Linked DNA regions of Danio rerio. The protein of the gene in region 1 purifies or fractionates together with the protein of each later gene. This does not show direct contact. Links are inferred from orthologs where the notes say so. Each region holds a gene or a part of one and is shown on either strand. Other genes may lie near its edges.

Evidence for each region.
Region 2: the proteins of usp10 (region 1) and yap1 purify together in Homo sapiens (affinity purification with western blotting; 4 studies listed by BioGRID). This does not show direct contact. The link is inferred for Danio rerio from reciprocal best matches to the Homo sapiens genes USP10 and YAP1.
Region 3: the proteins of usp10 (region 1) and ptenb purify together in Homo sapiens (affinity purification with western blotting; 4 studies listed by BioGRID, with this or other methods). This does not show direct contact. The link is inferred for Danio rerio from reciprocal best matches to the Homo sapiens genes USP10 and PTEN.
Region 4: the proteins of usp10 (region 1) and ikbkg purify together in Homo sapiens (affinity purification with western blotting; 3 studies listed by BioGRID and IntAct, with this or other methods). This does not show direct contact. The link is inferred for Danio rerio from reciprocal best matches to the Homo sapiens genes USP10 and IKBKG.
Region 5: the proteins of usp10 (region 1) and eif4g1a purify together in Homo sapiens (affinity purification with mass spectrometry; 4 studies listed by BioGRID, with this or other methods). This does not show direct contact. The link is inferred for Danio rerio from reciprocal best matches to the Homo sapiens genes USP10 and EIF4G1.

What each region holds. Positions count from the first base shown.
Region 1 is NC_133182.1:74,662,058-74,667,916, reverse strand, and holds part of usp10 (ubiquitin carboxyl-terminal hydrolase 10), read left to right. Parts: intron 1-1,032; coding exon 1,033-1,078; intron 1,079-1,439; coding exon 1,440-1,499; intron 1,500-2,289; coding exon 2,290-3,483; exon of another isoform or gene 3,484-3,587; intron 3,588-3,751; exon of another isoform or gene 3,752-5,859. UniProt on the Homo sapiens protein: Hydrolase that can remove conjugated ubiquitin from target proteins such as p53/TP53, RPS2/us5, RPS3/us3, RPS10/eS10, BECN1, SNX3 and CFTR.
Region 2 is NC_133193.1:40,215,874-40,221,732, forward strand, and holds part of yap1 (transcriptional coactivator YAP1), read right to left. Parts: exon of another isoform or gene 5,341-5,859; intron 3,285-5,340; coding exon 3,151-3,284; intron 1-3,150. UniProt on the Homo sapiens protein: Transcriptional regulator with dual roles as a coactivator and corepressor. Critical downstream regulatory target in the Hippo signaling pathway, crucial for organ size control and tumor suppression by restricting proliferation and promoting apoptosis.
Region 3 is NC_133187.1:19,016,787-19,023,072, reverse strand, and holds the start of ptenb (phosphatidylinositol 3,4,5-trisphosphate 3-phosphatase and dual-specificity protein phosphatase PTEN), read left to right. Parts: upstream 1-1,940; 5' UTR 1,941-2,563; coding exon 2,564-2,642; exon of another isoform or gene 2,643-2,710; intron 2,711-3,155; exon of another isoform or gene 3,156-3,455; intron 3,456-6,088; exon of another isoform or gene 6,089-6,111; coding exon 6,112-6,196; intron 6,197-6,286. UniProt on the Homo sapiens protein: Dual-specificity protein phosphatase, dephosphorylating tyrosine-, serine- and threonine-phosphorylated proteins.
Region 4 is NC_133198.1:21,477,844-21,483,702, reverse strand, and holds part of ikbkg (NF-kappa-B essential modulator), read left to right. Parts: coding exon 1-70; intron 71-635; coding exon 636-779; intron 780-902; coding exon 903-1,039; intron 1,040-3,274; coding exon 3,275-3,348; intron 3,349-5,859. UniProt on the Homo sapiens protein: Regulatory subunit of the IKK core complex which phosphorylates inhibitors of NF-kappa-B thus leading to the dissociation of the inhibitor/NF-kappa-B complex and ultimately the degradation of the inhibitor.
Region 5 is NC_133177.1:19,188,530-19,194,388, reverse strand, and holds part of eif4g1a (eukaryotic translation initiation factor 4 gamma 1a), read right to left. Parts: intron 4,980-5,859; coding exon 4,828-4,979; intron 4,749-4,827; coding exon 4,656-4,748; intron 4,574-4,655; coding exon 4,495-4,573; intron 2,665-4,494; coding exon 1,960-2,664; intron 1,875-1,959; coding exon 1,786-1,874; intron 1,628-1,785; coding exon 1,456-1,627; intron 1-1,455.

The DNA.
Region 1 (5,859 bases):
TTTGCTTTTTAGCGCTTCTCTCGTGTTTGTCCCTTTCTGAAAGGATCAGATGTCAGAAGTGCTTTAATAATCACGTGCAGCCATATATAACTATAACGTGCACATTATCAGCTCAAGAAGTTTGTTATTTCATAGATGGATGTGTGGCGAGCGATTGCGAGGTCTTGGGAGAAAGTAAAATCACTTGCGCTTTTAGACGCCCTTGTAAGCAACAAGACACACAGGTTCTGCTCTTGTTCTTGGCTTTGTGGCTGTTCAGCAAGACGACGACTAGGTTTGTTTAAGCTTGGCTCGATCATGACTTTTTATTATGTTTATATTATTATGGTTTCATGTCTCGGCTGTGCATTTAAAAACGGTGCTTCCTGTGTTTTCATTCTCCTGGCTTGTGCATACACTAGTGACACTTCTCTGTAACCAATAGCGTTTAGCTGTGTGTATAGCTGTGTGCCTTTTGGTACCCTTTTGTTTTGCTAGGTACTCTTTGGAAAAGGTACCCAAAAAGTGATACAATAGGTTTGCTTGTTGGTTTGTTTTGACAGTGGAAACGGGCATAAAAGCATACCGACTCATACCAAACTACTTAGTGGAAATGGGCCATTAATGATCCTTTACATTTTTCTTTAAATTTGCCTCTAATGCAAAAAGTAGTCTTAATTTATTTTTTTTATTTTGCTCCCTGTTGTTGTTGGTATAAGGCAAGTGTAACTTAAAATACAGAACACCTCTTGGCATAATATATTACCAATGTGGTGCCAACATTCTCTTTGTTTACTTTTTTTCTTTTTACTCTAATAAAATGCCAAGTCATTGTTTAGTTTTTACACATCGTTTTGCTGTCCATTTTGTTTGTACATTCGACTCTGGCCTTCCATTCCAAAGTACATGTTATAATTTTTTTTTTAAAAACCTGTATTTAGTTTAGATAACATGCGCTTGCATTTATAGGGTTAAGGAATAAAGGTTTGTTTGTGTGCATGTTCTTCTATTGACTTGATGTGATTGAGTGATCTCATCCAAATTTCTTATCAGCTTCCCCCGTTCAATGATAAAGTCACCTGCGTCAGCCATTCCTCAGGTAAGATCAAAGCTTCATCTGAATATCACTACAAATACTGCTACAGAAATAAAGATATGAGTTCTAGATTGCAAGATCCTTAATTACTCCCACGTAAGCAAACACAATGGTTTTCTATCATGTATTATGCTTTGACCATAGCTTGCTTCGTCACGCATGGGATACAGAGTTCATTTATATTCATCTGTCCTATTCGCATCCTAATCCTTAAATTGTAGACTGGTCCTCATTCATCAGTTGTATATAAAGCTCCTTGGGCTACGTTCCCATCTCTGTAGTCTTAATAATCTTTCCCGAGACAGTATCATATTGCCCTCTCAGGTAGTTGTGACCTTCACCCTCATCTGTATCAATTATTTAGGAGGTTACTGCACTCCTGCTGTGCCTTACATAACGGAATCATTGAGACGGCAGGTTTGCGGTGAGTTTTCGGTCCACTACACACCGCCTTAATCTTCTGTTTTTGTTGCAGAACTCAACACTTAGGTCTTAAACACTGACAGCTTTCTAAACCTTCCCCTTTACCAAACCTTAAACCCCTACTTCTTATTCTTGCCTGTCCATTTAATCTTTGGAGCTTTGCATGCCTAGGTGCCAGGCGTCTCTCTGGCGCATAAGCATCTACTTGCAGTGTTTGGAGTTGATGGGAGGCTTTATTTTTGGTATTACTTTTTTGGAAATTCTCTCAAAAAACACATCACATCTAAGAATATGACTTCATGGACCATTTTTCAGGACCTCTAACAGAATATCACCTGAACATGTGACAGTGTTGACTTATGTTGCTTATGAGTTTGCCATCCATTTCTGCCTAAAATAAAACATCTAAAATGAATACTAACAGAGGATGTGGTCTTATCTATTCTTTGATCCATTGCTTGGGAACTTGTGTTCCCTTTATGACTTAAGGTTGCTTTACTTTTCTGACTACTGGCTACTTCTGAGACTCGAATTCGTAGAGTAATTGTGACTTGCATTCACTAACACTGTTTCCATTCACTTCAATCTATCCTTCACTGCTTAGTCTGCACCGTTTAGTACCACAAACACTTTCAATTCAGAGTCTTTGTATATAAATAACTACATGGTACCTCTAGTATCTTAGTAATTGAGTGTTTTATAAAAAAAAAAAGATAAATCAGATTTGTAACAGAAAATCATTACAATTATTTAGATGCACATGAGTTTAACTGAGATGTTTCGATCTGCAGGAGAGGACTACCAGCATATTGAGTTTGGTGTGGATGAGGTAATGAATGCAGAGCCTGTGGCAGTGAAAGACTCGCTGTACAAAGTCTCTAGCACTCTTAATCCTCAGGCCCCTGAGTTCATCCTGGGCTGCCAACCATCTCAGAAGTCCCTTGCCACAGCTACACCTGTTGCTGATATCCCGGACGGTGCCGAGTTCAACTCCCTATGCTGCAGCAACTCTGAGACCTCAGACATGGGCAGCCATCAAGCCTGCTTGGACATGGATGGGGTTTCGGGTGGCTTGGGACAACGGAAGAAAAAGAAAAAACGACCGCCGGGATACTACAACTATCTAGAGGGTTCAAACAGCAACAGCACTGGTGTGGCCACAGATGGAGTGGGGCCCCCAAGCCTGGTCAACGGACATTCACCAAATGCTCCACTCCTGAGTTCAGAGGACTTGGTTGGGGACATTCTACCTGGGGCAGAGCTAATTCCCCCAAATTCTATAACATCTGCACCCCAAACCACCCCACTTTCCAATCAGAGGACTTGTGAAAGCCCTGACAATACATTTGACTTGACGAGTGGAGCTGCCTCTTTGTTAGACAGAAATGGTGCAGCTTCTTTGTCTACTTCATCTTCGTCCTCTCAGAGCAGTGGGGTGGCACAGAGTGCCAGGACTGCAGAGCAACATGCAGAACCCCCTGCTTTAGAGAGCCCAGTACTTCTGGATAACGGCGGGCACAGCTCCTCTCCACCTTCCCCTCTTCCCTGTGCTGCTCTGGCCACCCCTACAACCACAATTCCTGCTACTACTGATGAGAGGGAGGCCGAGGGCTTGGGGGAGGCCAACGGGCTGCCAGAGACCGCCTCAGCTGCTGGAGCTGTGGATGAACTCCAGGACTCCTCTGAAACGAGTGAGGTGCAGTCTGCTTCCTCTCTAACCCCTCTCTCGTTAGACTCTGACGTTCAGCCGGTGGTCTCGCCTGTTGTCCCGGCAGCACCTGCGATCACCCCACCGAAATCCTGGGCAAGCCTCTTCCACAACTCCAAGCCTCTACCTGGAGGTCCTCAGGCGTATGTTGAGGTGAAGAGTGTGCCTGCTGTTGTCACATTCACACCGACTGCCTCCGAGTTGCCTGAAAAGGTCAGTGAGGTGCGTGAAGGCCCTGTCCCCGTGTCTGAAGACCCTATGGCCCCAAAATTGGCAGGTAAAATTACATGATGTTAATGGTTGAGTCCAAACTGCAAAGAATGCTGTATTGCACTAAATGTAGTTGTTTGCTTGCTGAAAGTTACACCTAAGCAAATTTTGGTCCAAAACAGGGGTCCACCAACCTTGTTCCTGGAGAGCTACCTTCCTGTAGAACTCAGCTCCAACCCTGATTAAACGCACTCGAACCAATAAATAGGACCTGATACAGCACTTGATAATTACAGATGTTTATGGAAGGTCAAGGTTGCAACTGAAATCTGCAGGAAGTTAGCTCTCCAGGAACAGGGTTGGTCACCCCTTACTGGAGATTGGCTGCAAGTGTATTTTAAAAGTTGTTCTGTTGTTTTTCAAGGATTGCTTGGTGCATTCTCTACTAAATGTTAAATTCACCCAAAATGAAAATTGGTCATTTAATCATCATTCCATAAATTTTTCGTTCAGTTTACTCAATGTGATTGAAAGGGTCGTCGCTGCAGAGCATCTTGGGTAGAGCTCACCTCCAGGGTGGGGGAGCTTAAGCTCCAGCTCCTCCACCTGTAAGCTGTTTTAATGCGTAGACCTACTCCACCCCTAACCCCAACCCCCAGTGACGTCACTTGTAGAAGGACCGGGAGCTCTAGCTCCCCCATGCTGGAGCTCAGCTCCGCCCATGTAGCTCTGCAGTGAGTACCACTTGATGCAAATGTTTTTTTTTTTTCCAATTTTAAGGTTTTAAGACCATTTTGTTCATCATGTGAAATAATTGTATCTTCAGAATACTTGGGTCAAACAGCTTTCTTTATTTGGAGCGCTGGCTTTCAGAATTGTCAATTTTGAACGGAGAAAGTTTTATCTCTTAACTTATTTAAAAAAAAAAAAAAGGTATAACCTGAAATCTGCCTACACAATATATTTACCTGTTTGCAAAGATTCGTACCTTTTTACTCCTAACATTCTTGTATCATGTTGCAGAATCATGTCAGATTAAATGTTGCTTCATTGTTTTACATCTCAATAACAAATGCATGCAGTTAAAGAAGGCTGAACAAGCGACTTGTGGAAATGAGGTTTATTATTAAATGTAGACCATTACACAATATGAGCCCAATTTGACAATCCATATTGTATGGTCTAAAAGCAGAACTATTTTACTTGTATAATTGTGTGTTCAAAGACTTTGGTTTGTGACATGTATTTATGACATATCTTGAATTAAATAGAAATGTCTGGTTTATTAGCTTATAATTAACCTAATATTTATATATTTGCCTTGAATTTACAGTAATGATTAGCTAATTAGACCCCCCCCCCCCAGAAAGATCTCCGAAAAAAAAATTGTACTTGTTTAATGTTTATATTAGTCATTTTCTTGCAGCTGTTTTTCTCTACAGTGATTGTACATTGTGTTGGTCAAATACGGAAAGCTCCATGAACATGATATTAATCTGTTGCTGTATTCGTTTTAATGATAGCTGTGTATGATCATGTTTTGCTATCTGCCTTAGCTTTTTAAAATTAATGACCTTTATTATTATTATTTTTGTTTTTATGAACAGTATTTCTGCGTATTTTTCAGATTTTTATTTGAGATTTTACAGAAGAAATCAACAGCATGTAGCTTTGTAATCACACTAGTGTCAGTTCTGATTTACGGGCACACCATTTCTTCTTGATTTAATGTGGGTTGTGTTTCTGTCCACAAGATGGCAGCAGTAGCATGTTTTATTGCTGGCACCAATAAGTTCTCTGTCCTGTTAACCCTAGACTGGTTTTTAAAGCATCTCGGCTCCTTTAAAAATATGTCTGTCTGTGTCTACATCTATCTATCTGTCCATTCATGTCTGTGTGCTTGTTTGTTTTTCTGTCCATTCATCTCATCTATCAATTCATATATCTATCTGTCCAATCATATGTCTGTTGTGTCTGTATCTATGGTTCTATCTATATATCTTATCTGTCTATCAATCACCAAATGAATATCATATTTGTCTGTCCATCCATTAATTTATTTGTTCATCTCTATCTGTCTGTTCTTCCATCCATATATCTATCCGTCCGTCCATCTATCTGCCCATCTATCCATCTATATATCTATCTGTTTGTCCGTCCGTCCATTCATATGTCCGTCTGTTCTTGTATTCATCTATATTCATCTGTCTGTCTGTCTGTCTGTCTGTCCATTCATCCATCTAGCTATCTAGCCAGCCATATATCCGTCTGTCTGTCTAATCGTCCGTCCTTCCGCCTGTCTGTCGATCCATATATTCATTTATATCCGTCCATCCATTTATCTGTCTTTCCGTCCATCTATCCGTTTGTCCATGCATCCATCCATCTATCCATCCATTCATCAGTTCGTCTATCTATCTAGTCAGCCATATATCCGTCTGTC
Region 2 (5,859 bases), on another chromosome or scaffold:
GGGATTTAGTGATTTGTGGGCCCTAAGCAATTCCTGCAGTAATATGCACCCATTGGATTTGTATTTATTTATTTAGCTGCCTTTTTCTTACACCACTCCGTCTTTTTTCTCCATTTTAATGCAATTATAAATTTTTTTAAGATTTATTTGCTTAAATTGAATTCCTAGCTAAAATTATTGAATAGACTTTTGGATTTGATTTTTATAACTAAATCTTCACCTGATTTGACTGCTAGACTGATCCATGATTGGGAGTGGGGGGACACATTTGCAGAGATGTGATAATCAGGGTGAATCTGTATTTGTTAGACACTCACAGAATAAAATATGTCTCAAAATGCTATTTCATATAGTTTATAAAAACATCTAGGTATTTATTGGGGGCCGTCAAATTTCCTGGGGCCCTTAAGGCTGGTTTATACTTCTATCTCGAGTGAACCGGCACATACCTTGCGCGTAGTTGCAAGATGTCCTCGCTGCAGCCCGCAGCTTGATATCGTAGACCAGTGGTCACCAAACTTGTTCCTGGAGGGTGAGTGTCCTGCAGATTTTAGCTCCAACCCTAATCAAACACACCTGAACAAGCTAATCAAGGTCTTACTAGGTACACTTGAAACATCCAGGCAAGTGTGTTGAAGCAAGTTGGAGCTAAACCCTGCAGGGACATCAGCCCTCCAGGACCGAGATTGGTGACCCCTGTCATAGACGATCGTCAACTATGTAACGGACCTTGTACCGCCCTAAGTTTACGCTCATGCTACCATGATGGTTGGGTTTAGGGTAGGGGGAGGTGTAGGCGATCGTCAACCACGTAGCAGACCTGGTTAACTACGTCATCAAGCTGGGGGCTGCAGCGAGGACTGTCTCCATAGCTGTGCATTTATACTTCTGCATGCTGTTTGTGTTGCTCTGCATTAGCACTTCAGAAACGCTAGCTGGCAGTAGGTTTTTAAGTTCCTCTATGTCCAGTTTCTTTACTGGTGTTTGGACGTCAAACTTGCTCATTCAAAGGCGGGAACCGATGGATGTGCTTTAATCATAAGATAAACAAAATAAAAGTTTTCATCTGGAGCTCCTTTTCACGATACTCGACACTTGTAAACACTCATTCCATCGGCTCTCAGCACCGCCCACACTCGTCACAGCTACCCAAGAAGACCAATCACAGAGCTTGTTCTATGTGTTGTTGCGACGTGTAGTTACATTTTTTAAAGAGTGCAAGTCGACATCAGCCATGGCGAGCCTTAAGTGGCTTACTATTAAATCTGCCCCTGGGTGTTGCATGAAAAGACCATCCTGTCTTTTTTAAAGAGTTACAAATTTTGTTCATTCAGCACAAGTGAAGTTTTTTTCTTTTCTTTTTTTTAAAATTCAAATCTGAGAGATTTCTTGAAAATCTGCACATGCAGAGCTCTTTAAAATGTTCTTAAAGAGGTTAAAAAACCTGTATGAATCTGTCTGAGGAGACATGACTGGCTTAAATCATGAACAGATTTAATTTATTCAAATATAAATGCTAATCAGTAATGTTTGGTTGACGTGGAATGTTTAGTTTCTGTTTGCTGTTCAAAGTTAATATATGTGAATAAAAGCCCAATATATATCTATTCATCATTTTAAATGTGATTCATCAGTAGAATTGGATTAAATCTCTTAATTTTTATAAAGAGTCAAGAGTTTTGGATGAAAAAACTATAAATAAAGGAAAAGAAATATGCCATATCTTTAAGTTCTACAAGTTGAGCAAAGGTAAGTATTTGGAACAATAGTCAGTGATTCCTTTGTGTGTGTGTGTGTGTGTGTGTGTGTGTGTGTGTGTGTGTGTGTGTATATATATATATATTTTTTTTTTTTTTCCTTCTTTTTTTGCTTCTTGTTTTTCTGTCCATTACAAGTCATATAAATTTATCTTTTTAGTCAAGTGAAAGTGAGGGAAAAGTCAAGGAATTTGACATTTGGTTTAGAGTGGGGAAAAAACAAATATGACAAGAAGAAATCATCATGGTAACCAATGACAACATTTTCATTTTGTGGTGAACCAAGGCAGCATTTACACTGCAGATCTTGATGGTCAATTCCGATTTTGTGACTGCATCCGATATGTTTGACAACCCGCTTACATAATCTCTTAAAAGTGACTTGTGTTGTCTGCATTTACACTGCACCAGCAAAGACACAATGAACACGGTAAAAACAGTGGGTGCCGACTGACGGTTGTGATAATAAAATGATCCATTACTGTAATGAATCAGTTTGAAGGTTGTTGGGTTTTTTTATGCATGCATGCATGTACACTACTGATCAAAAATTTGGGGTCAGTTTTTTTTTTCTTCTAATAATTAATTTTATTTAATAATTTAAATAAAATTATTTTGTTCATCAAGGCAGCATTTATTAAATGAAAAAAAATATTAAATACATATTTATTAAATAATTAAATATTTATTTATTACATATTGTATGTAGTTTCAAATTAAATCATTACTCCAGTCATTATGGCTCTTATTACTATTACGATTAATAATAATAATAATAATAATAATTAATATTAGAGTAATTTCTGAAGGGTCATGTGACTCGGAAGACTGGACTAATGAAACTGAAAATTCATCTTTAAAATCACAGGGATAAATGATTAAATTAAATGATCAACTACTTTTAAACAGTGATTTTATAGTGCAATATCATTTGACAATTTAACAATGTGTACTGTATTTTGGATGCAGCCTTGGTGAGCATGAGAAATTTATTTTAAAACATTTAAAAATCCTACTGACCCCAAATGTTTCACCGGTAGTGTATAACTTTAAGCCCTATGCAATTTCTCTGTCTCGACACTGCTGCTAAGCATATTCATGGGCAAGTTAATTTGTTTGTTTATGACGAAGTTCTCATTTGGTACTTTGGTACTTTTAATGTAGGCTTTTCAGCAGAAATGTGACTATCCCCAAATCTCAACTCAACTTGACTGTTTTCCCCAGCTTTTCCAGCAGAGGTCACCGATGAAAGTGCTTCAAGCAAAACTACATACATACTTTGTTATACACTGCCCTTATGTGCTTTTGAACAGCCAACTACAATCATGTGCAAATGCAAAAGTGAGCTTTTCTTGAATAACCAGTGTTCTGCGTGCAGCTGAATGTGTCTTACCTGTTCAAGAAAGGGTCAGAGCTGTTGGTGGTCATGTTACGGGCGTCTTGGCCCATACCAGGTGAAGACACAGGGTTTTGGGTGCCGCCATCCTGCTCCATGCTGGTTGGCAGCTGGTTTCTGAGGGCGAGCTCCTGCACACACACACAAAACAAAAGCAACATGCCTCAAACCGTCATGAAGCAAGCAGACAGGGTTTGCAGGAACCGAACGGAAGCTTAGCGGAAGTCTGAATAGCTAATTTTTGTTGGAATTACTCCAAGTACAGATGAGAGCAGATACATTTTTCTACTGAAGAAAAAGGACAGAACAAACTATACTGGTTTTACTATGAAACCACGCATACGTGCACAATGAACTATCAATGAGTTATGGGAAGTAAAGGACAAAAAAAAAAAAAAACTTAACCTACAAGTTTTACTTAGTTTCATGTGTGTGAGAAATAAAAGCCTTTTCCCATCCAACAAGTTCCTAGGAGTTACAAATCTGGTTATGATTTATCAATGGATTGTGTAAGACTGCTTACTTCAGGCCTCAGCTCAAATGAGTGGTTTAAAGAGACTCACGCGAAGGTGTGGGTTTATTGCACATCATTTAGTACAGAAGGGTCAGAGCTTTGATTTTATTACAGACTTCCTATGACTAATTGAAACTTAAATACTGTCACAATTTCTGCTGATTAAAGGATGATTCAAGCACTGCTTATCAACACGCCATCCACACTGACCCTTTGACTGTTTGAGTGCACTTCACTCATCATAGCTGATAATTATTCATCACATTATGTAAAAAAAAACTCATTTAAATTAACTGACATGATTTTTTTGTATTCGTTTTCAAAAAATATATGTATAATTGAGAGTAGTTTAATTTTATTCAGTATTAACATATTTTATTTGAATTTTTTTGCACAGCCATCTTAACTTTTATCATTTATTAGTGAATATTAAACATCTGTACTTAAAATGAAAATGAATTATTTAATAGCATCCAGAATATAGCTGTTAAAATAGTTGAGAAATTTATAGATATGCGTTTGAGTTTATTGTTAAGATTTGAATTATTGTGTAAAAGGTCTGATAACATTTCCATATGTCAAATAACAATATTGCCATTGAGATTTTTATTATTCATTATATACAGTGCTCAGCATAATAGAGTATAGCCCATTTTTGAAATGAATATTTGTATCTGTTTCTCAGTAAATATAGGCAATGTATTCTGGTGCATTTAAACAAAACAGATATATTTATTTAAATAATATTTTAGTTACCAAACTTATTTAGAAATTGAGAGATAATACTATTAAAATCAAAGCAAAATACTGCAAAAAAAAAAAAAAAATCAATACAATTTTCTCTTTTTTTTGTTGCTCTTGATTTATTTTCTTTTTTAAATTCGTATGTAATATTTTTCCATAACATAAATTTGGGTGTGCTCATTTTTTGGCCATTATCGTAAATTATTTTGTTAGATGAGCTCCAGATTTGGCCTCAGTACTGACTAATCTAATGTTTTTGCACAAATATAACATTGTATAGCTTCCTATTAAAAATAAACAAATTTCAAAGAGAGATTTGTGAGAGGTGTAATCATATTTGCTGAGCACTGTATTTCAGAGGGAAGAATTACACTTAACTGTGGTCATGCCATTTTATAGATTTTTTTTCTCAAAAATGGTATGACAGCAGCTTGTAATTGTTCATCTGAATGTCTCTTTCCTCTGATGGGAACATTGTATATAATTCAGGGGGGCTGATAATTCTGACTTCAACTGTTATAATGTTATATATATAACTGTTATATATATATATATACATATAGTAAATAATATTTTATATTATACACACACACACACACACACACACACACACACACACACACACACACACACACACACACATACATACATACATACATACATACACATATATACACAAACAGAAATGGACAAAATTGTTGGTACATTTCAATTTTGTCCAGTCCACTTTCATAAGCTTGCCTTTTTTAACACTTCTGTTTACCCAAAATTCGAAATCAATATCTGATTTTCATTCATTTATTTTCAGTAATTTTTGATTAATAAAGACATAATTTTATTGACCACTATACTTTTTCTTTCTTTAATGGATGATGATGATAATGGTGTATTTTTATTGAATGCCATATCAGCATCCAAGGCTATTTTCATTTTTCTTTAACCTTTTGTCCACTATGTATGAAAATACCCTATATAAACAAATAAGAAAAATCCAGAAAATTGTCAAAACAACAAATATTTAATCGACAATTCATGGTTATTTAACCAAACACTTTCGTCTCTTTGCAATATTAGTTTGGGTATTATGCAACAATTATTACAACCAAAACATGGAATCATTTTTAGTTATTCTTTGCAGTTGTAATTTGATGTTCTAAATGCTCTAAAAACACTCTAAATAAGTTTTTACACACAGATTTCAACATCTACTAATCAGTCAACCTTTAGCCAATTAAAACTATACATAAAATATAATGTTATTTAACATATAACATAAAAATCAATACAATAATAGAACTAAATCCTGCCCTACAGTTATCTTTAAAAAAAGTGTCATGATATTGAAGCAAAACCGGTTGTGGAAGCAACTTTACATTGACTTTAATTGTCTGTGATTCATTACATAACACTGCTACAACATCAATTCATATGTATACATGTTGTGCTGC
Region 3 (6,286 bases), on another chromosome or scaffold:
GACCCCAAAACACTTACAATTGATTTCAGGTGTTATATTAATAATCTATTAAATATGTACAGGTTTTGCGTGAGACAAAAGGGTAGTCATTTTTTCAAAGTTGACATTCACACAATTTGGACTTGACTTGTTATACTTGTTCTGAAGTGTTTTGCATAGTCCCTTATAACATAAACCTCAAAATATATTTTACAATAACATTGCTTTTACCATTGACTAGACCATGACAGATCTGTGCTTTACAAGCATCTTTTTCTACCTCAAAATCTGCTGACACTGAACTGTATGTCTTTAAAACATACAAGTTCATAACATTATTATGAATACAAAATTCATTGCATCAATTCGTATGTTTGTTGCACTTTTTAAGAGAGGACAAAACTTAAATATAATCTATACAATATTATGTAGCTAATGTGAAATTTATCATGGATAAAATACAAAAATGATAACAAAATAATAAAACTTGTTTATCTACTGCTAGTACCTACTACATTCAGTTGACACAGTGGATGCAGTTTACATTGTGACTGAACTTCTAGTTGACATTACTTTTAACGAGATATCAAAGTTATAAACACATTTTTTATTTATTTATTAAAAACAAGAAAGTTGATGCATTTAGATCTCCAAAGTAGGACCTGCTGTGCTGGCTAATGTTGGCCCATGGTAACCTTTGATTTGTCTCGCCAACCCATTTGAGAAGAAAGGGAGAATTGAGGAGGGTTCTGAGATTGTCATTTAAAATTAAATGTAACCCTTTGTTTGTTTGTTTATTTGTTTTATTGTTAAAGCCTAACTGAAATTGAATGTTTCAATTAAATGGTGTAAATTACTCAGATTTTGTTTAAATGTGCATACTGTCACCCGGCAATGCAGAGATTTTGGTGAGCAAATCAAATCAAAGGCAAATTGTGCTTGACTTCTGTATTCATATTCATTTAAGTTTTATTGCAATAATGTTTTCTTTTAAAAATGTATACTGCATTAGTTAATACAATTTAATGTAACATTTATTTTGTACACAAAGTAACAATTATTTGGAAATATTATGAAACAAATCACTCATGGCAACTTTAATGTAATGTAGTTTGGTATATTTACCATCGGCCACGGCTCTCAGTGATGTTTGGTTTTAGGCCCTTCTTACGAAAATGTTTAGGCACCACTGGTCTTGTAGCATACGAGCTTTATTCTAGAATATTCTGACAGATGGCGCTCTACAATAAGGATTTGCTGTCTGAAACGCAGCTAGAACTTTCCACCTCCGTTTCGTCCTTGGGGCAAAATCCACATCTGAGCAAACGTAACAGAACACGCCTATAACACAAATACATAATTAAATACAATTAGCATCACAGGTGGGCGCAATTAATTTCTATAATTTAATGTACAGGTATCTGGTAATATGATTGTGCCTCTGTGCAGTAACTTACTTTTCTGCTGGCGTAAGCATTTCAGTAATTTCCTGCAGGGTAGTCGAGGCACTGGTGAGAGGGGTACATAACTTACGTGCATTCTGATATTTTCTCCGTGTTCAGAAGTGGGACTAAAATAAACGTAGGTTGTACCTTTCAGTTATTGTGTGGCAAGCCAATTAGAGTTTGTTTCATAAAAGGAAACGACAATGTTGGAGCGGAACACCTACATAACTGACTTGAAATCTGATATAAAATATTGGAACTTGGCTCATTTCTGTAGACACGTGACCGTGGAACAAAACGTAGTCCGACTGTGTATTAGTGCGCTCGCAGTAACCCTAACATTAGATAGTTGATATATTACTTAATTTAACGCCATGTCAGCTCAACAAGAATGCTTTAAAATAAGTATATTTATATACTAGGATGCAAAAACATATTTGTTGTTGACATAAAATGAAATAGCCGTAGAACTATTTGCCAATGCGGATGAATATGTCGTCCGAACGTCATCTTTTTTCAATGGGAAGCCATGATGGAAGTTTGAGAGTGTAACAGGCAGTGGAGCAGTGGAGGATAAGGACAGAACCGGAGGTGTCTCTTACGCCACATTTAAATATCGAGTTTTTCATTTCTTGGTGGAGGCTGTCACATTTTGTTTCATGTGTTGGAACCTGGTCATCGCGGATTGTCGTAGAGTTTAATGGCTTTTATTTTCTAAGGATGTGTAGACGGGCTAGCGCGTTAGCCGTTGAGGCTAGACGGAGCGCGAGCTGAGTGCGAGCGGGGCTCTGACGACCGATCTTCAAGTGGAAGCACCGGAGAGGATTTTCTCTCCGCCTTTCCGCTCAATCACGGCGGCTTCGGTGCGACCAGAGACTTGTCGTGCACTAGAGATTCTGCAGTTCCAGACGTGGGAAGTTGCTTATCTTTTCACCCAGGGCTCGTCTGAGCCGAGGAGGGCATTTTGGAAGCCGGGCCTGTGGTGGTTTGGAGCGAGGCCCTTGATGAGTGAGCCACAGCAGACTCCATTCTAGCTAGCTGGGGGACTGCGAAACGAGCAGAGCATAAAGACGACCGACCGTCCGAAAGCAACAATACTCTCTCTCACACTAAAAACCCTAAAGACTCCTGTCACAGCCATGGCTGCGATCATAAAGGAATTTGTCAGTAGAAATAAAAGGAGATACCAAGAAGACGGGTTCGACTTGGACTTGACATGTATCCTCTTTGATCAATCAAATGTCCCTGTTCTGTCTATTGTGTTGAAACCAGTGTCGGCAATGAAGGTAACGGCTTGCATCTTGTTCCAAATCAAGAAATCTCTGACGTCCCGTCCGAATATAAAAAGCTATGAGCATTTATTTACATTTTTTGCTTTTCCCTTTTTATAGGAACTATTGACTGAGTCCCCGATTGTACATGATGTGATCTAGATCAGTTGGTTTCTGTTCCTGCATCAGCTCAACGCCGTTTAGATTAATGTCAGTTGTTAATTTATCCACGTTATCGAGCCGTCGTTTCATTTATACGGTTATTTTAGGCTTGTCTGCAAGTTACATGTGACGACTACAATATAAGCAACTCCAGTGAGGTCATAAAATGTCATTTTCCTCATTTTACGTAATCTGATCTATCGATTGACCGCTAATCTGCAATCTAACTCCCAAAATGTTTACATTTCAGATCAAGACAGTTTGGGGGTTAATAACAAAAGACGCGTCGCAGGTTTATATAATGCGATGGATTAGATGAAATGCACAAGCAGTGTCACACAAAGAGCATTGCATCAGCTGCTCGCAGAAAATAGATGCTTGCGCTCAACTTGTAGTTTTGATTGACCAAAAAAAAAAAAAAAAACAAGTCCGTTCACACGCAGGCGAACAAAAGGAAATGCTTTAGTATGTGAAATATGCCTTTTTGTAATCGCAGGAAGGGATTCGTGCAGTGCAGCGCTTTATATTAGAAGCGTCATTGACGTTTGTTCCCCCGTTTGTGCAATATGTCAACGTCATTTGACAATTTCAAGCACAGGTATTGTATGCATATACGTTATTTGGCTTGTGATCGTTGCTTTCAGGCAGTAGCTTTATATCCTGGTTGATGAAGTGTTAAAGCACGAGAGGTCTGGTTTTATTTCAGCAGGTTTCAGTGTTATTGAAGATCCTTTTGATGGAGCTTTACCGCCAAGTCTGATGTTTATCTACAGTCCATTGTCCTTTTATATAACTCTTAGCTGTTCTGTAATATAAACTCGCATATAAGATTAATTTATATATAAGAATAATATTTATATATAAGACATTAACAAAGACTAGAAGGATAGATAGAGGGCAGGATCAATACATTCAAGATGAGCAATAAATTCACTTTTCAATAGCATTAAGAGTATGCCATGCCTTTGCATGTTTTGATAATCGTTCAATTTTTAGCATATGCATACATTGAACAAGGTCTAGTGTATTACATGAGCCATCCTGTAAATGAATTGATCGCATGGACATTGATTTGCCCCAGCCTGCTCAGATGGTGTGTGGGTCACTATATTGACCCATTGCATTGCATCATGCAATGCACTTATTGCGTTTAAAACACACTGTCAGGAATAAATTTTAAGAATGACTTCATTCTTTCAGTCCACTTTTGCTATAATGATAAAGCAATGCTATCTATGGCAAAGATCAGTGAGAATACACACTTTTAACTTTACAATTCTTATCACACATCAGAAAGATCGTTAACTAGACATACACATTTAATCTGTCTAAGATCAGTGAGAATATATACTTTTCACTTTACAATTCTTATCATAGATCAGGAACGAATGCAAACTAGACATACACTATCTTTTTTTTACTTTAAAATATGTAAAGTTAGTCTAGATTACACTAAAATCAGTATAGAGAGTTTCAAGATGAAGAAAACTGGCCTTACTAACACTAGACCGCTATTGTTCTTGCATGTACACAGCGCTGAACCAAAAAGGTTTAAATTCAGCATTCTGTTTGATCCCTTTATATCAATAATTGGTTAATTTAGAGTTGTTTTTATTTTAAATTTAAAGAATGTTTGAGCTTTTATGCTAATATACTTTATAGTGTGCCATGAATTAATTGCAATCTTAAATTTCCCATTGATTCCTGTAAGACTTTAACATCTCATTAAAGATAGCTGAGGTTGTGTAGGTAGTAAGTTGGCAGCTCAACAATATAACATGCAGAACTTTGTATTATGTTAGTGATGTAAAGTGAATGGCTCTCCAACTTTGAGTCTCACACTTTTTTGTTTATAACCATATCTGTTGTGGCTAGTGTAGGGTACAATGGTTGCTTCATTCAGTGCAGTTTTCTTTTTTTTTCAGTGTTATGTGTGGAATGTATGTTAAGAGATACAGACTCTTTCATTTGTTGGCAAGAAAGTTATTCTGATTTAAAGTTTGATAGTATTGTGCATATCTTTGAAAGCTAGATAACTTGGGAATGTGTGTTTTGATATTTGGTCTAGCAATTTATATAGGAACGTTTTTGCGTGTTTGATAAGGCGCTTGAATTTACTAAAGTTCTTTGCGTTTCAGACTTTTTGAATCAAATAATCCTTTTGGCCCCTGAACCATTAACAAATAGCATACGCTGCAAGTCTAAAGATAACATTTATGAATATATGAATTTTATTGTTTTATGAGCTGTTCTTTAACATACTCTGCTTTATGTTTTAAGCATTGTTTCAATTCTTGCATAATTGTAAAAGCACTTTTTTTCTGAATTCCGCCAGTTTTAAAAGTTTTATGCCTTTTGAAAGTCCTTCAAAGAATCACACAGTCCCAGAGCTCACACACATGTCGTCAAAATGGTTCTTTTGCTGAAATGTGAAGTTTGCCAGATCAGGAGTGAGAACCGCATTCTGCCACACCATTCGAGAACACAGGAAGTCCAGATGTTTCTTTTTTCATGAGCTTTTTGTCAGAAACCATCATAGTTTAATTGTTGACGATAAATTGTAAGAAAATAAGTTATATTGGCAATATATTTGATACAAAAAGTGATTCTAATAGACGTGTATATTTTAGTTTTCTTACACTATTAAATGAATCATTCTAAGAATTAAAGTCATAACTTGGATTTTTGTACTTTCATACTTTAAAAAAAAAAATGGACATGGATAGAATAGCTTTGCAACTAGTCATTAGTTTATTTTATTTGGTCTTAGATTGTAAATATCTGCATGTGTATGTTAGCCCGAAAGAGTGATGCACTGGTTATGGAAAGGTGAGGAAGGAAAGTGATTCCAGGCTGGGCTGAGGCACAGTGTGATTTATTTAGTGCCCCTGTGTGGCCCTCTGGGTTAGAGGTCTATGCATTGGTCTCTTGCAGCGAGAGCCATCTGTTCTATATTACCCAGAATCCTGTTATCTGAGCTCTCATTGCTCAACTAAAAAGAAAAGCGCTGCTTTAGTGGAAATGCTGAAGTTCTCCGTTGAAACCGAGGCTTGATGTTTGTTGGTTTTCCTGCTCCTTGTGGCGTCATTTGACTGCACTGCATTGTTCACCAACCTTGCCTCAGAGTTTTGGATGCAATTTAAGACAAGCATCCGGTGGACTTTACATGTGTATTCATGTTTAATCAGATGTTATGTAGTTTTGTTTTCCTGTTCATATCAACTTTTCTAGATTTCCTTAACGCTGCTGTACAGACATTTATCCTAACATAATAGCTATGGGTTTCCCTGCTGAAAGACTGGAGGGTGTATATAGAAACAACATAGATGATGTAGTGAGGTAAGTATTCACTTTGTTCTTGCTAGAGATTTTGTCAGGATAACCATTTTGTGTTTGTGTGCCACTTCACATTTACAACCCATGTTGCAA
Region 4 (5,859 bases), on another chromosome or scaffold:
GCATGCATACACGTGTCTGTTTCAGGATTATGACAACAAACTTAAAAGCGAAAAACAAGCCAATCACAGGGTAGGTATCTGCTGTTTTTAAACTGTTTATTGGTTATGGTACCATTTTCCTTTAACATTTCTGTTCGTCTTTGACCAGTAATGAAGAAAAAATGTAAAAAATAAATGAAATGTTTTATTTTTGTATTTATTCATACGTTATATTTTTAGAGATGGCTTTATATTGCTGTATGTTATTTTATTTATTTAATTAAATTATTTATTTATTTATTCATTTATTTATTTAATTTAACATTAGCTTGTTTTAATTTAAATTTTTGATTGCTTTTTACGGTGTGTGTGTGTGTGTGTGTGTGTGTGTGTGAGAAAGTCAATAAACCCAATAAAATTACATTTATTATTATTCATCATATTTGTAATAAATATTTTATGGTTACAAATTTAAATATGTAAATGTTTTAGAAAGTTTTCTCAATAGTAGACACTAGTCATTGAACTTCTCTTAAATTGAAACGCTACAAATCTGTGACTTCATTTTTGTGGTAGACACTTAAAATAATAGGTCAGTGCATGGTTTGTGCTCTATAGTTGTTCATGGAAACTATGTGTGGTATTTACCTTTTAAGGGTGGAGAGACGGATACCCTTGCTAACAGGTTAGGGGAGGCTGAGAAAGCACTGGCCCTCAAACAGGAGCACATTGATAAACTCAAGGAGGAAATGGAGCAGCTGAGAGCTAAATTAGAGACCATACCGGTGCTGAACCATCAGGTGAAAATATACTTTGCATTAAAATTAAACACTCATTTTTTAGGCTCTGCTATAAATGTGTATACGATTTAGATCTTGCATATAGTAACACAAACACAATGGCGACATGTTTTATTTTTACAGGCAGAGATCTATAAGATGGACTTCTTGGCTGAGAGGGAAGCCAGAGAGAAACTCAATCAAAAGAAGGAAGAGTTGCAGGAGGATCTGAATAAGGCATTGGTCGAGATTGAAAGATTCAAGCAAGAAAGAACCTCACGGTATCAAAGTTATTTTATGTATTGGTTAAATTGAATGTCTCAGGGTATCCGCTGAGTCTTAAAAAGTCTTAAAATGTGTTAAATAGCAAAAACTATTTTAGGCTTTAAAGTCTTAAATTCACAGAAATATTGTGTTGTAGGTCCTAAATCATTTTAAACAGGTCTTAGTTTTCCTTTTTTTATGTAAAGCTACTCAATTAATTCAACCTATATCCAATCACCAACAATACATCTAAAAAAAAAACTGTTAGCAAAACTCTTTTTATAAATAATACTATAACAGTTTGTTGTGCATACATTTAGTTAAAATTTTTATTTTTAAAGTTTTTAGTTAGTATTTATACAAATAGGGTCTGCTTGTTTTGATATTTTAAATATTTAAATTAGTTATTTTAAATATGTGGCTAAGAAATAACTCATTAGAATTAGTTTTTTGATTGGGAAAGTATTTTTTTAAAATCCTTCGCGTTAAGTCCTAATAAAGTGTAAATTTAATTCTTGATGGTCTTAAAAAGTCTTAAATTGGACAGAAACCCTGATATTTGATGGTTATTTCCTCAGTTTTTGCATTTAGTTTAGCTTTGTCATTATTTTCTACTTAATTCAGCAGATCCCAGTATGTATATGCATGATTGTCATTGTGCTTTTTAATGCCTAAAATCACTAGTAAATAACAGAATGTAGTTTCTAGTTTATGAATTAACTAACATGAAAATAGTTTTTATGTAAGATTTGCATTTCCCATTACTGTCATCCTGCCCCGTTTTAATATCATTATTTTTAGAATTATAATACTTAACTATTTTATATGAGTTTTGGGGATAAAGAATCGATGTGTGGCAAAAGCCCATCTATTCAGGAAGAAATCTTCAAGTTCAGCATCTCAATTGGAAAAAATGTCCATTTCAAATCAGTCCATCCATCAACCTATAAAACACCAGCAGTTTTTATCCTTGTTTTACCATGGTGCATGTCTCTGTTATTTGGCTACACTTTGAATTCAGAGCATGTCTGAACTAAATTTCTAATGTAATGTATAGGCCATTATCCCACACCGTTAATCCCTCTTTGAGTCATTGATTGATCGATAGAAGCGAACTGCTTTTCAATATTTGATGATAACAGCGAGCCTCTGTAGTGAACAATAAGCAAAAACTCGGTTTAAGAGAATTTTCTTTGGCTTCAACTTTAAGTTTTTAATATACATTTAAATTAAAAACAGTAGCATTGATTTATGTTATCAATCTCTGCATTTCATTTAAAGGTGCAGTAGGAGATCTTCCACAATGCTAACAGCTTAGCATAAATCTCTGAATCACAGTCCCTCCCCTGCCGTCTAGAGCCACGCCTCCTGAAACACAAGCACAGCAAAAGAACCCTCTCATGTGTTAAAAGCGACTAGTGCATGTCCGGCGGCATGCAAGCCAAACTGACATGCTATTTCAGAGTGAATATTTAGAGTTGCATGGTTAACAATATAGGGAGAGACTAGGCGGAATAGTGGCGTTTACTTGTGTTTTGTTGTTAAACTAATTAAAATCTCCATCATTGATGCTGTAAAAGGACCCTTATGAAACTGAAAATAGTCTTATCAATCTTTCATCGGAAGATTTTAGGAGCTGAACAACACTTCTGTGAAGATATAACCCAACATCTAACGTTACATCAGCTTAGCGTGAAGCTAAAATAATTTTAAAACAAAACATTACCTGTCTAAGAGAAGGCCTTCAGACATGGTGTCATCCTTTCTCCAGCGTGCAAAGGTAACTCCAATATTGATTCAGGTTTTTAAAAAGTTTTGATTCAGCATGTTTTTACCAACCGCGCGCGCGTGCACGCATTCTCTCTCTCTCGTGAACGTGCGGCGGTTCGGCAGAACTGCGTACAAACGGCTGCGCAGTTGTTCAAATCTGCATTTGCTGACAGACAGATTGAGCTACTTATCGGAATTATGAGAGATGTCCGTCCGACTCTATTTAATTGGATGAACATTTTTTTGTTTTATGCCTTACCCAAAATATAAAAATACATTAAAATAAATTTAGATCATTTACTGTAATCATTACTATTAGACTGTGAAGAGACTTTCAACCAGTACAACAAAAATTGCTCCTGAAGACAATCACCTACTGCACCTTTAAATTAAAATCTAAATAAATTCAAATGAATTGCATGAACTAATGTCCTCTCCCTCCTGTTGTCCAAGCGTTTGATGTGAATGTTGTTTCCTCACAGAGCTCGCATTGAAGAGATGCAGCAGAGACACTTGGAGGACTACAGGCCTCGACCTCACCCGCCACCTCCAGCTGGTAAAACACCTGTTTTCTTCATTAATTAATACACAGGTGCTTTATTTCCTTTAAGTTAGTTAATTAGATTTACAGGCTACATGACAAAATGCATCTCTTTAAAGAGTCATTAAGCCACTGTTCTCTCACCACAGGCCACAAAGGTGAGGTGTGTGTGTGTGGTAAAGCTACTGAGTGTAGGGGAAGTGGTGAGACTTGGGCACCACACAAATTCACTGAAATTTGTTTTAAAACATAATTTTTATGCTTTGTGTTCACATAGCTAACTATATATATATATATATATATATATATATATATATATATATATATATATATATATATATATATATATATATATATATACACATACTTATATATTCTCTGAATATATTGTTACAATGGTAAAAACAACAACAAAGAAACTTGACACAGTAGAGCAGAGAAACCCTACTTTCGGAAAAGCAACACAGAGAGAATGCAGAAGTATAAATGCTCACAACAGAGTCAGCTACGTGCGAGAGGTGTGCCGTGGGCTACAGAAGTATACATTGCAGAAGTATAAATTGGGCTTATCCCAGAAGATGAATCTCGTTTGAAAGGCATTTTTGATGAGGACAAGACTTTAGCTGCGTTCTGGTCTAATTTTTAAGCCCTTCACTTGCCACTTTACTTTCCTTTGTCTCATTCCCTCGGATGTATGTCATTGATTACGTTACACAACTATACACTGCTGGTGGACAATCTGAATGGGTTTTAATGGAATGCCCTAACCCCTTAAACACCTGGGACATACACTGTTGTGATATCACAATCACATTAAATTCTAGGTATATATAGGTTCTGAAGTGTATGTATGATACCAAATCACTCCATCGGCTAAAACCAAGGGATCGAGGGAATGTCAGTGTAAACTTCATGAGTGTGCTTCTAAAGGCTGGTTTATACAATAAATATGACCCATGGCGCATACCTTGCAAGTTGCCGTGCATTTAAGTCTGATTTGTACTTTTATGTCAAGCACACGTGTATGCTCTGCCACAGCCTGCGCATGGTCGCATAGCCCTTGCCATGGCCGACACCGATGCGCACCTCTCAAAAAAATGTAATTACACTTTACAACGACAAATGAATGTAGGCGAGACGAACTGATGAGTGTTGGCGAGACCGAGAGCCTCGCGAACCCATTGGAGCGAGTGAGTCCCAAGATAAAGCTCCAGATGAAAACTTCTGTTTTGTGTTTTCCTTATGGTTAAAGTTAATGCATATCCGCTGATTTCTGCCTCAAAATGAGCGCGTTTGAGCCACTTGTACATTATGGTAGCATTGAAAAAGAATCTCAACACAGAAGAACATAAAAACCTCACTGCCAGCTAGTGTTTCAGAAGTGTTACTGCAGAGCAACACAAAGTGCACAGAAGTATAAATGCATGACAATGCGCGAGGCAGGCGCCAAGGGTCTCCCTGATCACACGACACAGAAGTATAAACTAAGCTTGAAACTAGGCTGATTTATACTTCTGCATCAAGCGCGCACATATGGCCTGGCCCAGCCTTTGCGCTTTTGCATAGCCCTCGCCATGGCTGATGCCGAAGCTGATGTACACCTCTTAAAAAATGTAACCACACGTTGCAATGACGCGTAGCGCAAGCTCTGTGATTGTGATTGCTCTGTGAAGCTCTGTCGGCTTAGTAGCAGTGACGAGCTCGTGTTTACAAGTGTCGAGTCTCGTGAAGGATCTCCAAATGGAAATTTTTGTTTCATGTTTACCTTATGATTAAAGTTGTTGCACATCGGTCGATTTTTCGCCTCTGAATAAGCTAATTTTATGGCCCGTTTCCACTGAGTGGTACAGTTCGTACCGTACTGTACCGTACCACTTTTTCTGCACCCTTTCGAAAGTGTACCAAACACGACAAAGGGTACCAAAAGGCGAAGCTAGACGTGCAGCTGAACGCTATTGGTTTACAGAGATACATCATTCCCTTGTGCAACAAACCAGAATAAAAAAAACAAAGGAACCGGCATGTTTTAAATACACAACCGAGAGATTGCAGCGTAATTATACATGCATATAATAACTTGTCATGGTCGACCCGAGCTTAAACAAACCTAGTAGTTGCCTTGATGAACAGCCACAAAGCCAAAAAGAAGAGCAGATTTTATTCTGTGCCCCTTAGTTTTTTACGAGCCATTCTGAAGCTCGAGCGGTTGCGATTTCGCGCTTGCGCTCGCCGCGTGTCTATATTTGAAAATACAAACTTCTTGAGCTGATGATAATAGCGTGTGCTTGATTACTGACGTGCTTTTGAAACCCGATCCTGCCAGAAACTGACAAACGCGAGAGTGACACACGAAAAAACAAAGGAGAAGCCAGAAAAAAAGGAGCACATTTTTTTTTTTAAGCAAACGTGAACAAACTGCCATGTTTAACTATTATTTTCACCTTTTGGACTATTATGGACTTGGAATGATGGAATGACTCTCTAATAGAGGCTACATGTGCTGCTGAAGATTACAGACACATTTAA
Region 5 (5,859 bases), on another chromosome or scaffold:
ATAGACCAAAATGAGACATTTAGACAATGCGACTGCCTTGCACAAGACAAGCTACACACCATCGTCAACAAAACACCATCTTCAGCTAAAAAGAAAAAACCTTCTGCACATTTCGGCTATTCACTTATGCCTAGTTCAGACTGTGTGATTTTAGCCGCGATTTCGGCTCGCCCCAGGTTTTGAGAAATCGCCGACAAATGCCTGAAATCACAGGCAAATCGGTGCTCGTGCATGTGAGTGCCAATCACACAGTATGAACCATCAAAGATGCGATCTGAGAGAATCGCCGATGAGTCAAATCATGCCGTACGTATTTGCACAACGTATTTGAGGACCGGCAGGGAGACACAATTTCCGGGAGATTATCATTCGTTTGCAGGCATTCGGTAGTCTCTGTGCATTTGCGGAAAACTCCCAGAACTTCCGGGAGACTTGGGATGTCTGGAATGACCTTCCACCCTACTCTTAATTCTCTCTTCGTATTGCCATATGCCTATTACATATCCATAAAACACTATGAAATTGCCGTGCTTGGATCATATCGCTTTCTTACTACAATCGATCCGCTCCAGAGTTCGTTTCAATCAAGCCGAGACCACCTCATTCAGGTGATCTCGGAGCGATTGTTTTGGCGCGGATCCGAGCGCAATTGCTGGATTTACATATGCCAAACGAACCATGCTAACTAGGCAATGGAGACAGGTTCCGAAATAAAAGTCTAGATGTGAAACCACCCTTAAACTACAACTTTGAGGGGGGGAAATGGTGGCAAAGTGTTTGCTTTGAACAATAACATTTTACTTAAAATGTGATTTTTTTTTTGTGAATACTGTGATGTTTCACATATGCATTTAACAGGTTAAGTATTGGCGCACAACATGACATGCAAAACAATGAATGTGCGTAGACGTAGTGTATCTCTTTACAAAACATATCACTGGCAAGCACACAATGCATAATTTGTAAATTATTAAATTAGTTTTAACGGGAATCTTTTTGACAGCAGTTGATTGTAAATGTAATTAATCAAAAACGAAATGAGTAAGCATGTAAATGTATTTTAAAGTCAAGTCTTGATACATAAAATATCAAGTTCTAAGTTAAGGTAGGTTAATGGTCATTTTTCACCCCTATTCTCACCAAATTATACCAAACTTTGTAATTAAAATTTGCTTGATTCAAATAATAAAGGTTTTGTCAGCTCCTAATTTACATGTTATTATCAATTCTAAAGGATCATATGATTGTGGAGAATAGAAAAAGGAAGCTGAAATTTTTCCTTTAGTTTAAAACATTGAAAGAAATTAATAAATAATATAAAACTTGACCAGTTTTACTGATCGGATAAAGACTTTATCAACGCAAAACAATGCTTTAAAATTCCCCCCTGAATTAAAGCGCTCCTATAAGAGGATGAGTGATCTTTAATGAAGCTTATTTAACTTTGCTTCTAACCTTCTTTATATTGATATTTCTGTTCCACAGGTTTAGATGCCTCTGGCTCAATATTTTCTGTGTCGAGCTTGTCCTCTTTTTCCTCCCATGTTTCATCTGTCTCTTCCACTGGTGGGGCTGGGGGCTCTTTCTGAACCACCTCTGGCTCAGGAGCTGGCTTCTCCTCCTCTGGCTGAAACGGGTACACAAGATTCTTAAATCAAGATGCACACACACAAAAAAAAAAAGAAAAAAAAAAGAAAGAAAATAAAAACGTAATAAAAAAATAAATAAAAAAAAAAATCACAAAAGGTGCTACTGTAAAAACAAATGTATAATGACAGCACAAACCTCCTTGAAGGCATCTAGAACATCTCCAACATCCTTCTTATTCAGATCCTTGATCTTCTTTTTCTTCTTTAGCACTATTGGGGAGGCAGCTAGGGAGACAGTAACTAGAGTCAAACTTGGAAAGGAGATAAACAAATAATATTCTTTACAATCCTAATTTAATAATTTACCAACCTTGCATAGTTGTTTCTTCAACAAGGCAGACTGGTGCAGGGGTGGGGGCCTCTTCCGCTTTCTCCTTTTCGGTTTCCTCCACAGATGCTTTAACAGCTGTAAGGCAGCTCTGCTGGTCCTGTGGAACCACTTGTTCAGCAACTGGATTAGCGGAGCTCTCTGGCTTTACATCTGGAACCTCTGCAGAGTCCTGGGGCAAACCGTTTAACAAAGGCTGTTCCTTTGGCTCATCGGCAGCCAGTTCTGGAACGGGCATCTCTGTGATTACAGGGGCACCATCACGATCTTCAGCTACATTAGGAGAAGACTCCACCGCACTGGAGGCGACAACAGCTGGACTTGAGGCTGCTGTAACTTCTGTTTCAGCCACAGGTTCATACTCTTTCTCCTCGGCTTCCTCTGGCTCCACAGGAGCACAGGGCTCCTTGGGCTCCTTCTGAGCAGAGGCTTCAGGGAGCACTGGAGCATCCACACTGTCTGCAATTTGAGGCTCTGAAGTTTGGGGATTGTTTGCAGGAGGAGGAGAAGGAGAGGGTACCACAAGATCCTCTTCTGGAGGACTGGGAATCTTGCTCTCTGGTGAAGCAGGTCTGACTTCTGACTCGGGTTTAGAGTCGATGGATGAAGGTGCTGGGGGCTCTGGTGTCTTACATGGAGGAGGGGTGGACGCAGATGCAGGACTTACCATGGCCTTCACTTCATCATCTGAAGATCAAGCAGAGTAAACATTATTAAAAATAAAAATAAATTCTCTAACCAAAATGGATGGTTGACAAAAATGAAAATGATAAAAATGACAAGCTGCAGAAATTTCTTAAATTATTACACTGATGTCTGGAATACTCAATTCTGATTGGTCAGTTGTGACATTCGAAGGTATATTATTCCCAGTTAACAACCGCTGAATAGCAGATGCTCATTTGGTAAACTTCAAAATCACCATGACCTGTGTTCACATCCATATATTAATATCCAAATTAAAGTGTTACATTATGTAACACCGCTGTTTTTGACTGTTTGGCCCCATCTTAAGAATGAATAATACATAGGTTGATCTATGCTCCATTTAACCAGTTTCATTTCTGCTTGGTGTTTGGTACCATCTTGTGACTGAACAATGTGCAAGTTAGTTCCATCAGCTCTAGTCAGCTGTTTTAGTTTCTGTCAGCTTTGCTTTAGTTAAATTAATAGACTGTTATGACTCAGAACAATGTTTTGTATCAAATGTTTTTGTTTTGGGGCAATAAGCGAAATAAAGTATGTCAGACTGTTGTTTTTGTCAAATTAAGCTCTTCAGTCTTCTACAATCAGTCTTATCTACTGTATCAGGCTGCTGCTAAGCCTGTTAGTAAAACTGCAGATTGATGGTAACATCTAAGCCCCACAGTAGTGACAATACACCACTGAAGTAAATCTTTGCCATTAATTGTACTTTTAGCAACATTTTTAAAATAAATACATTTAAAATAAGTGTTTAATAGAAAACAATGACACTTTTACAGGTTTAACTTTTTTAAATTGGTCTGGAACACAGTGAAAACTCCATCAACTCAAAAGTATGTTAACTCTGAAATGAGACTCTTGGTTTTCCGTTTTTAAATGGCAGGTTTGGCAAACTCAAGAAAGCAGGGTAAGCCAAGCCTGTTTCTGAAAGAGAACTTTTACTCAGACACATGAGTGCACATTTAAATCCATTTAAAAACTCAATTTTAGAAATTTTATCCTAAACTGATCAATGCGAGTAAAAGTGGGAATCTTAAATTAAACATTTCTGAACATCAAGTTTAGGTTATATGCATTCTTGTTTTGTCAAATTTGCAGTAGAAAATATGCAGTAGCCTATTTTATACGATTTAATGCAATTACGTCTGAAATTACTTTCAAATTACGGCCAACTCCCCACTTTAAGTGAAAAGTCAATAAACGTCACATTACATTATTAATTTTTTATTATTCTTCAATATTTAAATACTTTAAACGTAAACTTGCACAATAACTTAAATAGCTATGTTTTCCACACTCAGTCTCTGTTTCGCTGATACAGTGGTGTTGCTTTTTTTTTTTTTTTTTTTAAATATATGGTTGTATTTGTTGCATGAGCACATCAGGTTCAGCTGGAGAAAAATGCTGATCTCTTTTTTTTCAGATGTTGCCATGGTGACTCATTATCTACGCTCCATTGATAATACCTTTTTATAATTGCAGTGTGCACGCTTAACTCTGAATCAGTCTACTCAGACTTGATTGACCCAACTCCTATCCGCTTTTCTGAAACAGAACTCTTAAGTTTTTAATCTCTTAGTAAGTCAACTCAGTTTATAGATTTAAACTTCCAGTTGGTTCAACCTCCTTATTGAAACATTCCTTATTTTGAGGTTATTGATGCATACGCAAGTGGATAAATCCAATCTATCAGACATGGAAATCACATTTGAAACTTGCCACTTTTTTCAGGATGGAAAAACAGTTTTGGCAATAATGTACTTTTTTTGCTTGTTATTATTATTATTATTATTATTAAGAATGTATACTCACCAGTGCTGATCTCAGCAGGAAAAGTTGGAACGCTTTCACCATTGGTCTGAACTGGACTTCCCACTTCTGTACCAGCAGTCTGGAAAAACAAAACAAAACAATGAACTCATTGTAATATAAATGAGCATGGCATAATGAACAAAAGCATGAAAGTGTCAAACCTGTGGAGGAGTTGGTGTGGAAGTCGTTCTTCCACCAGACATTATCTCCTCTGTGATATCACGTCCACCCTGGTTGGGGTCACGTATCCTTATCTGTTAAGCGGCATCAGGTAAGTGACAAAAAAAAAAAAGTACTAAATCGAAAAACACAGCAAAAGTCGTTTCCACCCACCTGTTTGCGTTCTCTGGGTTTGACTGGCCCTGTCGGCTGTGGAGCAGCTTGCTGTGGAAGTGGAGCCTGTTGCTGCTGAGCAGGGTTCATCATCACAGGTGTAGGAGGCACTGGCGTTTGGTACTGCTGTGTTGCAGGGTAGTAGGCAGCTGCTAGACCACAAATAAGGCAAAAAAAAGACAAGATCAGACACCAAGATAAGACTTTTTGCTGTAATGGGAGGGGGACCCACATGCAAAGTACCCCCCTACCCTGTAAAATCACTTCCAGACTCCCTGAGGAAAACAAAGAAAAATCAATATTTCATTAACATAGCTTCTTTCTATTCATAATAAAAGGCTAATTCACCCAAAAACTGTAATAATCATCCTCAGGTTGTTTTATACACTCAAAACTCTAATTCATCCTTAATGCCACTCCATTGAAGGGTCCAGAAAGGTAGTAAAAATTGCGTTAAAAAATGCAGGCTCACAAGAGCATTTCTTGTACTACTTCCTCGATACAAGACAGCACCACCACGCATTCGTGCTTTGTTCACACTGGAGCTGAGGTACAGGTAGGGATGCAACGATATAGATTTTGGTTGTACGATTAGTCTGAGAAATAATCATGGTTATCATGATTATTATGCATTCATTCATTTCAAAGTAAAAAAAAAAAACTTAACATAAAAACTCCTCATATTTGAAAGAGTTATTTATTGCTGCTCAGTAACTAAATACAGCACAAAATAATAATAATAAAAAAACAATAGTCCCTAAAACTATTTCCCTTTTGACTTAGAAATATGTGAAAACTAATTTTTGGCATAAAGTAATAAATTAAGTAATAAAGTAATAAATTAAGTAATAAATTTACACTGAAAATAAATGACAGAACAATGAATAAATGAATAAAAATAAGAATAAATAATAAAAATAGTCTAATGCAGGGGTGTCCTAACTCAGAGCTAGTTTAGTTACAGCAGTTTGTTCCATGAAACGTGATGTTGAGAAGCCTTTATGATTATTAACCATGTCAAATTAAAGCACG